Linked DNA regions of Schizosaccharomyces pombe. The gene in region 2 interacts genetically with the main gene of each other region. Each region holds a gene or a part of one and is shown on either strand. Other genes may lie near its edges. The genes, in order: cka1 and cdc28.

Region 1 (4,700 bases), on a different chromosome or scaffold from region 2:
TTTATTTACATTCAAGGATGAAAAAGCAAGAGAGGAAGAAAGAAACTCACCTTAGTTGCAATGCAATGATAAAACACGCTGTTTTAGGTGTTGTTTTGGTAGACGATACACAAGTTAACCCATTTATTTGGATCGTAGCGTAAAGTATTTTCTAAAAGCGAGAGATTGAGCTACCGCGTTATAGTGTTTTATACTTGTTTTACCATAAATACGCATAAAGCGAGAGGTAAACTACTCCTTTTTTAACAAATTTGCCTGGTTAAACAATATACTTTACCAAGTAAGATAAGTAAAGTTGTTTTTTCCGAATTCAAAGATCACAACACATTCTTTTGAATTAGATTTTGGTGCAAATTTTGGCATGCTGACTGAGGTTCAAAAGCAAATACTGTTTCATTTGGAATCAGTGTTGAATAAATGCGAATTCCTGTAAGTTCATCCCTAGTTTATGACATTATCATTTTTTTTAATATGATGAATTCTAATATGTGTTAAATACAGTAAAATGAATTTACAAAAGGCAATTGTTTTGAGCATTGAACTTCAACAAGTTCAGGATGAGCAGCTGCGCAAGATTAACGCTACAGAATAAGAGGTTTTGTAAGGTTGCTCTCTAATTAAGGCTTTACTTTTCATTCATGAAATATCGCATATTCATTTCCATCGCTTCTTTAGATTGCATTCATTATGCATAATACGCAGAGTTACTTACTATTAATAAAGCTGTTAGGTACCTAAAGAGGTAAAAACTCGTTTAAAGTATTAAAGAAAACTATAGAATTGGAACCTGTTTAGTAAGCCCGATAGCATTTAAAAATAAAAAAAACTCTAATTTGAGTAAGGGAAAGCAATAGACACAGACACTATGTAGACCAAGTGTCTAACGAGTAGGTACGGGGAAAAAGTAGTGGGAAGGCTCCGCCACGTGAAAGCAATATTATAGTAGGATGTACTTATGCAAGAACCGTTTCGAGGAATCGTGTGGGAGATGATAACGTTTGGGCAAGAAATATTAGCTTAAATTATCACCGACGTAAATGAAGAGGAATACTCAAGTCTAATAATAAGAAAAGAATAATAAAACATGAACCAGAATTAAAACTAGAATTGGATTTGGTTCATTTTTATGAAAATGAAGGGAACTAGTAATGAAAAGGCTGTCCGTAGAGATAATTGAGTTATAGTCCCTTCCCTCAGTTCTTATTTGAGTACTTGAAAGTACGGATGGGCCATAGCTTCTTGACAAGTTAAACGCTCCTATGCTAAGTTAGTAACTATACAGTATATACCACTTAAAAAAATAAGTGATTGTATAAGATCCTGTAAAAACCTTCAGGTTCGGTAACTTACTTGATGATCATAACGTAATAAACGATTTAACAGATCGATTGCTTCATCATTGGCAAGCGATCTGTTGTCACGGTTGACAAAAGAATACCAGTCCCGCTTGGGATACTGACCAAGAATATTATCGTATTGTCGGTCCAGCACAATCTGGTATTTTTGTACGTAAGCGAAAAGTTCATCAGTTCCCAGAACTTTGGCAATTTTAACTAGCTGATCATAATTGTCCCGCCCACGGAAAAAAGTATCTTTTTTAAATATCAAAGCAGCAAACATGACACCAAACGACCAAATATCCAAGGAGTAATCTAAAGTTTGGTTAGGAAAAAAGAAACGTAAATATATTTAACAAAAGTGGATGCAACTTACCATATTCTCGAAAATCTACTAACAGTTCTGGACCCTTAAAGTATCTACTGGCTACACGAACATTGTATTCCATGCCAGCATGATAAAACTCGGCCAGACCCCAATCAATTAGCCGTAACTTCCTTTTTTTGTGATCGATCATAACATTATGAGGCTTAACGTCACGATGCATTATACCACGAGAATGACAGAAATCCAAAGCTTTTAGCAACTCGTAAGAGTAATAACGAATATCATAATCAGAAAGAGTAGGGTACAATGTACGGAAATCAATATTGTCAACAAATTCAAAAATTAAAGATGGTGTTTTACTCTATAAAATATTAGTATCGACAAATACAATAGTTTGATGGATATCAAACGTTCAAAAGCCAGAGTCGTATAAACTCAATAGACGGAAAAGCACAAAATTTCTTCTCCTTCAAGTTTCAAGACGATTCAATACAAAAAGCTTTTTTTTTTTATTCTTACCTCTGGATCGCGGACAATGTCAAGCAGTGAGATAATGTTAGGACCTCCGGCCAAGTTCTGTAGAATCTTTATTTCACGCTTGATTTTCTTGTACTTTACAGGCTTTAGGACTTTGATGATGCATTTGCTGTTGTTCAAGACATTTAATCCTTCGAAAACTTCACTATATTTTCCTCTTCCTACTTTCCGAATAATTTCATAATTGTCCTGATATCCAAATACCTCCTGCATGTTCTCGTAGTCCCAGTATTCACGGGGCATCTCCTCATTAACATGAGCATCTAAATCTAATTAGTCATTTGTTATCCTTTTTTTATAAATTTGAACTTCACAATACGTACAAACCCGGGAAACTGAGACGACTGGAGCCGCTTCAGTCTGGTTCATTGTAAGTAGCACCTTTCAGCTTTCACGTTTTTTTTTCTTAGAGTGCTCCCTCTATGTTAATGCAAAATCCTTTATATGAAACGGAACCCAAAAAATTTGTTTAGCAAGCTAGCTGGTGAAGGGCAGGTCTTGTGTATGCAAGTGCAAAGAGAGTGCTTAGTGAAAATTAACAAAGTGTTTTAAGCTCCGTTACAAGCAATATAGCAATATAAACAAGTTAATGCGCTATATGGCTTAAGTTTATAAACCAAACAAGTGAAAATATAGTTATGATATTGTTTTCTAGTGAGAAGAAATGTAACAAAAAACTGATAAACGTTGCAATCAAAATCCGATCACAGAAGACGAAAATGAGTATACTAAAGCTTCTAATAAGGAATTTTTTTGAAATTATTCTTCCTTCATACGTTTTAGTCCGCATGCTTTGTAACAAAACTGAATGCAATTGCTAATGATCACTTTTTGTGTTCCTAAGACCAATTGATTTGAAGCTGAGCATATTCTTTCGTAAACGAGTATTGTAATAATATTATTATCGCCCCAATTAATAAATTATTTACAAAATGGAAAGGTAAATATTAGATGTCCAATTGACAACTTTAAGCTATCAACGATAAAACTTTCAGAAAATTGATCTTTTTGAATCTTTGTATTAATAATTTCATTCATCGTTTTAAAAAAATGGGACTCTCTGTCTTGACTGACCCAATTTTGATATTCGTCTTCATTTGTCAACGATGAAGCAAAGGATATGTGAAGTAAAAAGTCCTGGAAGGCGTTAAAATTGTCGCTTATTTGAACCTTTACTTACCTCTCTCAAATTCCTATTTGTAAACTCTTTCATACAGTCACTAGCATGACTTATTAAGTCTTTGTAGTTTTCGTCACTGAATTTACATTCGAAAGCTAGGAACATTCTTGTTTTTTCGTCATTAAATAGTAGACACATCTTTCCCAGTCGAAATTTTAAAGTTCTTTTTTAATATGTCAGTCTCAACAGTATGGATTATTTGTCCTGAGTATACCTGTAATTCAAATTGTTTGTATATTGTTCCCATTTGTGCACTAATTGGTTCTTAGTGGAATAATTTATGCGGTAGTTTTCAGATATGCTTAAATGTAATCTTCTTGGTACATTATGCTCAGAGCAAAGAAGCGATTGAAACCGACTTTGTGAATTCAAAAACTCACGAATGCCTTTTTTAACTTTCTTGCTCAAATCCACTATTGATAATTGTCAACTTTTTGTTAAATAAAAATTGATTTATTACCCTCCAAATATGTTTGAACAAACCACAATCCTTCAATATGCTTTTGTCCACGAATTCGACCCTCATGAAACTCAGGACTATCAAAAGTTTTTGGCTTTTCTAAGAATATGAGTTATCAAAACATTAAAACCTTCTTACTCTTATAAAGTTCGTGAAATGATTCTTGGAGCTTAGGGACTTTTAACATTCGGGGATTATCAGATATTGTCTCGTCATCGTCTTCTCCGGAGCTCGAACTCTCATAACATACTAAAGACATTTATTCTTCTATTTTTTTTTATTAATATAATAAAGATGGCTACTTTCTTTTCTCAAGGAATGGTGTAGAAATGGCCTGTAATAGTAATAGATATTCATGCAAAAATTTTTGTAATAGTTTGGTTATTAGTATGTATTCGAATAGACATAAGCTTTTGCTTAGAATCCCGATTTCATATGAACTGCAATAAACCTATCCTTTCACTCTTGAAGTCAGTGGTAGGTTTGTTCAGACTTGTACATATAAGTATGCTGTATTAGCGTGACAGACTAGCAGTAAATAATAGGAAATCGTGATCTTCAGGCTTTACACATAATCTTAATAATACAATAACACGCGGCTGGGAAATTGTAATTTTCAAACTATCGCTTAAAATTAAGAAGTGTTCATTGAGTAAACACTCGACGTTTAAGCCTACGATGAGTTTATGTATAATGATTGAAATTGTTGAGCAATTTTAAAATGCTCGGACTATAAAACAAACAAAAAGTTGAGCCTATGTAGAAGATAATGAAAGATAGAGTACAAAATAACGTAGAAACTTAAATCGTCAACTTCCCTTGAAAAAACTCAATCGCTTCCTCCACTGCAACGTCGAT
Region 2 (6,140 bases):
AAATGCTTGGGAACGAGGATCAAGAATATCTTTACGGTTTCCTATTCTAGTAAAAGGTTGACAACTGGGACTCATAGTCCATAATTTACAGTCAAATGCATCAAAATCCTTGGCCGTTAAAGTTGAAATATCCATCTATAAGTATTAATATAGTTATCGAGTAAATCCTTGAAACATACGTGTTTAGCAAGTTTTCCATGATTGAGGTTATAAATTTCATTTGCCTGTGGGTTGATATCTATTGCACACACAATATCAGCCGGTATATTTGCCAGGTTCAATGCATAGTGCATACCTCCAATACCAGAATATAGCTCCAGGACCCGTAATCTTTTTGTACTAAGCATTGAATGTAACCGAGCATGCAACACTCGGTAATCGTTTAGTGAGGGTTACAAAAGACCTACCTGCATTAGATTTTTTGCTTGGATTTGTTAAGCTTGAAAAGTCATGAGCATTTCGGGCCTTTTCAAAAACGATAAAATGTTTTTTAGTATTAAAAGTAATTAATATACAACATGATGACTTAAACAAAACTGTACGTCTTTTTGAAGCTAACTAAATGAGATCTTTTAAAAGTTTGTCCATTATTGTGAAACATAAATTCATTATGATTATATACAACCAAATCGCCTTTAAAACTAATTTTCCTTTTCCACTCTTTTACCGCTTATGTCGTTTTTGCGTCTTTTGCAATTCTTCTATATTTTCTGGCTTGAAATAATGGGGGCTTATTTCCAAGAGCCACTCGGGTTGTATTTCAGTAATTTGTCTGCAATACTCCTTAGTTGTCAAAACCAATTCAAAGTAAATGATGACTTTTGGCTTTTTCTCAGCTACAGAAGAACTAGGGTGAATATAAACGGTTTGATTACTTTTAACAGTGCGATAAGAATCCCCACTACGATCCAAGCGTGCAGCATTAGAAAAATAACCAGCTGTGATAGCTTTCTTAATAGGATCAAGGGACTCTGAAGAATTAGTTACCAATTCAATTTCCACCCGTTCACAGAGATTGGCAAGTTGATCACGAACATCTCGAGCTCGACATAAACTCTTATACTGTAAAAAGTTTTCACGGGCCCAATTGTACGAAAAGTCAGTATCTACCCATTCATTCCAAATATGAAGAAGAGTTAAATGATCACCACCAGGTTGGGTAAAGTTCGCTCTAGCTTTATCCGCTTCCATTATTTTGTCTTTTGGTCTATAGAATAAAGAGGAAGCCTCCCCTAACATAGAAACAATTGATAACACTTCTTCAACACATCCATACTTTGAAGATGCAATCAAAGATTTAGAAAGCATAGGATCTGTAGGAAACTCTGCCATCTGCCTGCCGAGCTTAGTCAATTCTCCTCTATTGTTTAAGGCACCAAGCGCATACAATAACTCTAATGAACGCATCAACGTTTCAGGTGGTGGAGCATCCATGAAGTCGAAATCTAAAAGATTATTAATTCCTAGGGATTTAAGCAAGAGAACAATATTTGTCAAATTTGTTCTTTGAATTTCAGGAGATGTTACCATATCCAGTTCATTGTTATATGTCCGACGCGTATATAAACGGAAGCACTTTCCAGGTCCTACTCGACCAGCACGGCCGGCACGCTGATCAGCAGAAGCACGGGAGCAAGGCACAGATACTAAGCTTTCCATACCAGTCCTTGGATTATACATGTTTTGTTTGACAAATCCAGAATCAATCACAAAATTCACTCCGTCAATTGTTATAGAAGTTTCAGCAATATTGGTTGCTAATACAACTTTGCGGGCACCAGGGGGTGTAGGATCAAAAATTTTAGCTTGCAATTCAGAAGGCAGATTGGCATAAATCGGACATAAAATTATTTCCGGAATTCTTTTTCCTAGTATCCGACAAAGTTCTTGCATGTTTTCGGACATTAATTCAATTTCATCTTGGCCCGTTAAAAAAACTAAAATATCACCAGCAGGCTGGGTAGTATGTATTTGAAGAATGGTTGTAATAGCCGCTTGTATATAATTTGCTTCAGGTTGCGGGGTGTAATAAATATCGACTGGATATCTTCTGCCAGGAACATAGAACACTGGAGCTTCATCAAAGTAAGCCGAAAATTTTTCGGCATCTATAGTAGCACTCGAAATTAGAACCTTTAAATCTGGACGAAATCTAGCAATATCCTTTACAAGTCCAAATAAAATGTCTGTATGAAGCGTTCTTTCATGGGCTTCATCTATAATAATGACAGAATAGCTTGCCAGGTCAGGTTCTGTTAAAAATTCTCTGAGAAGCATGCCATCAGTCAAGTATTTTATGACAGTTTTTTCAGAAGTAGCATTTTCAAAACGAATGCTGTACCCAACTTCCTGTCCAAGCCGTACATCCATTTCCTTGGCAACCCTAGCAGCAACAGACATTGCAGCAACTCTTCTTGGTTGGGTGCAGCAAATTTTCTTATTTCCTTTAGTATAACCAGCTTCGTGCAGAAATTGAGGAAGTTGAGTTGTTTTACCAGATCCGGTCTCAGCCACAATAAGCAACACTTGGTACTCATTTATTGCCTTCAAAAGATCGTCCTTGTATTGATAAACAGGTAAACTTTTGCGAGAACTTTCTAATGATTTTTCAACTTTAACATCAGTCATCTTGTCAGTGTCAACAGGATTCTCCGCAGAAAGCTTAGTATCGAGTAAAAAATCAATCTGTTGCGATTCGTCAAATACGAAATCAAATTGCTTCTCTCCTGGAGGAAGCCATTCGTTTTGATCAAAAAGTAATGCTTTATTTATTTGTTGAGCCTCCCACCGCTGTTGTTCGGCAGCTCCCATCGTAACCTCGTTTTGCTCACCTTCATTACTATCCTTATACCTTTGATATAAGACCTCCTCTTTTCGTTTTCTGTCCAATTTTCCTTGCTCTGTAAAATAGTCTTCAGGCATTTGATATTCAGTGGCTTGTTTTTCCAATCTCTGACGTTCTTCAGCAATTCGAAGTAGTTCTTTTTTCTTTTCAAGCTCTCTAATTTCTGCTTGCGTCAACTTCTCGCCTGCAAAAAGTTGCTCCTCATCTCGAATTTCTCTGCGAAGGATTTCCAACTGTTGCTGAGCCCTAGGTTTAAGATATTGTTGCCGCGATTTTTTTCGAAGTTCAGAAGCAAGTTTTCTCCATGATTCAGGATCATCTGCTAGTTTTCTAAGAGCTAGCTCTTCCGAAGAAAATTTGGATGAATAATCCTCCACAAATTCATTTGTTGCGGCTTCAAGGTCTTTACGTCTAAGACGCTCTTCAAATTCTTCTCTTTCACGTAAATCATTGAGTCTTTCTGTCTCAGGATCTGAGCTTTTTTCATAATCATGATTTTGAAAATCGGTAGAAACTGAATCTTCTTCTATAGGATGACTAGCACTTCCATCCACTACCTCCTCATACTCGTCACTCTCCCACTCATCCTCATCTCGTTGTCTCCTGGCTATTTCTCGCTTAGGAGTTTTAGAACGGCTTTTTTTCTTCAAAGGCTTCCCAGGCGTCTCATGAGATTGAGGTTCTATCAACAAATCATAACTTGAATTCAAACGCTCCATTTGTAAAATCCCCTGTTCTTTTTTCTTTCTTGCATTGTAGTTTTCTTTCGGTCTTGAGCCTTCTCTGGGTATTCTAGCATAAAGCGTATGAGCAAATTCTTTAACCGCAGGATCATCACCATCCATACCAAAACTGACGAGTTTCTGATACAGGTTATTAGAACTTGAAGAGCCCTTCGCTTCTGCAATTAGGTATTCTACCACGGAAGGTTCCGACATTCCCAGTAGCGAAATCGCTTTGTCAGACACATATTGCTCTAAAGACATTTTGTAGGCGCAACCAGAATAATATCACCAAAAAGCAATGAAGCTATTTTTGAATATAAACCCTTTCAAAATTTTCATAAAATCTTCATTTGGAAGATAGTTAATTTTCAGTTAAATTTGCTAAACGCGTTGCGATACATAAGTTTAAAACAGTTGTAAACTACACATTATGCATCGTTTAGTATATATTGGATTCTTTGAGTTACGGTAATTTACATAACGTGTTTTTCGTTATATTTGCTCGAAGATTGGTTTCGCTGACGTTGACCTAAAGTTGATTAACACTTATTCTTTAACATATTTTTGTTTTTTAATTATATATTAAATAATTATACAAAATAGGATTCACAGTTAGAAGATTGTTTATCAATAGGCATTTGCCTCGATTCGTTGTACGACACACGGCTTTGCCTACACTTGTTCGTTCTTCTCACAAAATGTCAGACGAAGCTTATGCAGCATTTCTGGAAACAGCTAACAAACCTGTTCCTTCTTATTCGGGCGACTCTTCCCAACTTCCTTCAAAATGGCTGAGAAGCTCAAAGAATATGTTGGAGGATCCCTCATTTAAAACTTTAGCTGGGAAAGTTAAGGATGAATACTTTGTCAGTGAATCAGATGAAAAATTTCACCCAATATGCATTGACAATATCCCTGACGAATTTGAAGAGATTGATGCAAAGACCTTTGATCCCCATCAGAAGTACAAAAAAGTAATTCATGCAATTGAGCAATCAAGTGGGTCAAAGGACATCCATTACTTTTCTTATGAAGAATCATCTACTAAAACTGTATATTATGTACTTGCCCATTTGAATGACAATAAGTGGTTTGGAGTTGCTACGGTAGGCATATATACTTAACTGGCTAATGTTTTTTTTTATAGCAGAAGACTAACAATCCGCATTCAATAAATGTTTCTTTAAGTCGTAAGTTTTATTATCATAGGTTAATGTAATCGAAAAAGAATAAGTTGTAACTTCTCAAATGTAAGTTCAGCACTTGAATTGAAACAACCAACTAAACCAACTCACAAAATCATGATTCTTACCGCCTTCATTTCATCTCATAGAATATTCATACATCCATACAAGATTTGCGATTTAGATATTACATGGTCTTCAAGTCAACCTTAAATATAAACAAATTAAGGCTTCGCTTCTTGGTTAGCTGATGCATCTTTCTCTGTTTTCTCTGTAGCATCACCTTTAGAAACGGGAGGCGCCGTTTGAGATGAAGACTTTGCAGTTGTATTAGGAGCAGCATTAAGAGACGAGGAAGTAGAGGCATTAGAATGAGAGAAGGTGTTAGAAGCGTTGTTATTCTTATGTACATTCGATCGCTTCCCGTTAGATGAATTGAAAGATCGTTGAGAATTGCTCCTTCTTGAATCACCATACATAGGATAATGCATATTCATCATGCCATTATTAGGAGCATACTGGCCATACATAGGAGGAACGCCATTCATTGTGTATGCCATCATGCCTCCCATTTGGGGAACAAAATAAGTTGCAGGAGCTGAAGCGCCCCTACCGTTACCAGAAGGAGGAAACTGTGGCATTGCGTAAGGCGGAATGAATTGGGGAGCCATGTAGCCTATCATTGGCGAACCTACTGTGCTAGAATTTCCAGAAGTCGGTGTTCCGTTAGGTGAAGGAGCTACAGAGGTATGCTGACTAGGGTTTCTCATGTAAGGAGTATAGCCCGGCACAGGATATCCCACTGGTATATATGGCATTGTAGGAGTAGGATACATTGGCATTGCAGAAGGCATAGCACTATTGGGTAAAACAATACTAGGAATCATGGGATTCGCAGCTGCTGCCTTCTTTGCAGAACCAGAATTTCCTTCAGGTCTTGAATTTGCAATGGTTTGCTGTAGGGAGTTGGGTCCCGTGTTCCAAGTCGGGGGACATGAAAAAGGCTTATCAATCTGCTCCGCTCCTTGGTGTTCTTCTCCAACGTTTTTAAAAACATTAAAGTTATCTAAGATGGGTTCCTTCTCCGATGAAACAGGACCGTTGAAGAAAACAGGAGAGGAAGAAGGTTTGTTTTCACCATTGGAAACCACTGAAGGTGATTGTGGTGTGGTTGAAGGAATCGAAGCTTCACTGTTGTTGGACTGCTGAGGCATCATCGGACGTGAAGCATTAACAGGTGCGGGTTTACTGGGGATAGTAAATTTACCAGGTGTAAACACAGGAGCAGCTACATTCGGCTTAAAAGATATAGCCTTAGCATTCAACTTCGTGCCCAGCTTTGTACCTGTGGTTTCCTTTCTCTGTGTAACAACAGAGGGCTTTTCG

What was found.
Region 1: mutations in cdc28 (region 2) and cka1 impair growth when combined (synthetic growth defect), as found in Schizosaccharomyces pombe (one study listed by BioGRID).

The regions. Positions count from the first base shown.
Region 1 is NC_003424.3:2,150,025-2,154,724, reverse strand, and holds cka1 (serine/threonine protein kinase Cka1), read right to left. Parts: upstream 2,689-4,700; 5' UTR 2,572-2,688; coding exon 2,526-2,571; exon of another isoform or gene 2,466-2,525; coding exon 2,185-2,465; exon of another isoform or gene 2,182-2,184; intron 2,027-2,181; coding exon 1,714-2,026; intron 1,653-1,713; coding exon 1,351-1,652; intron 1,258-1,350; coding exon 1,201-1,257; 3' UTR 502-1,200; downstream 1-501. Other genes in the region: 3'-5'-RNA exonuclease Mpn1, read right to left, coding at 3,124-3,339, 3,383-3,545, 3,597-3,795, 3,843-3,941, 3,981-4,101; alanine--tRNA (Ala) ligase Ala1, read right to left, coding at 4,644-4,700. UniProt on the Schizosaccharomyces pombe protein: Catalytic subunit of a constitutively active serine/threonine-protein kinase complex that phosphorylates a large number of substrates containing acidic residues C-terminal to the phosphorylated serine or threonine.
Region 2 is NC_003423.3:1,668,273-1,674,412, reverse strand, and holds cdc28 (ATP-dependent RNA helicase Cdc28), read right to left. Parts: upstream 3,989-6,140; 5' UTR 3,832-3,988; coding exon 664-3,831; 3' UTR 588-663; downstream 1-587. Other genes in the region: pmt1 (DNA methyltransferase), read right to left, coding at 1-135, 180-347; SPOM_SPBC21B10.02 (uncharacterized protein), read left to right, coding at 4,269-4,694; ath1 (ataxin-2-like protein), read right to left, coding at 4,979-6,140. UniProt on the Schizosaccharomyces pombe protein: Involved in pre-mRNA splicing. Is required together with ATP and at least one other factor, for the first cleavage-ligation reaction.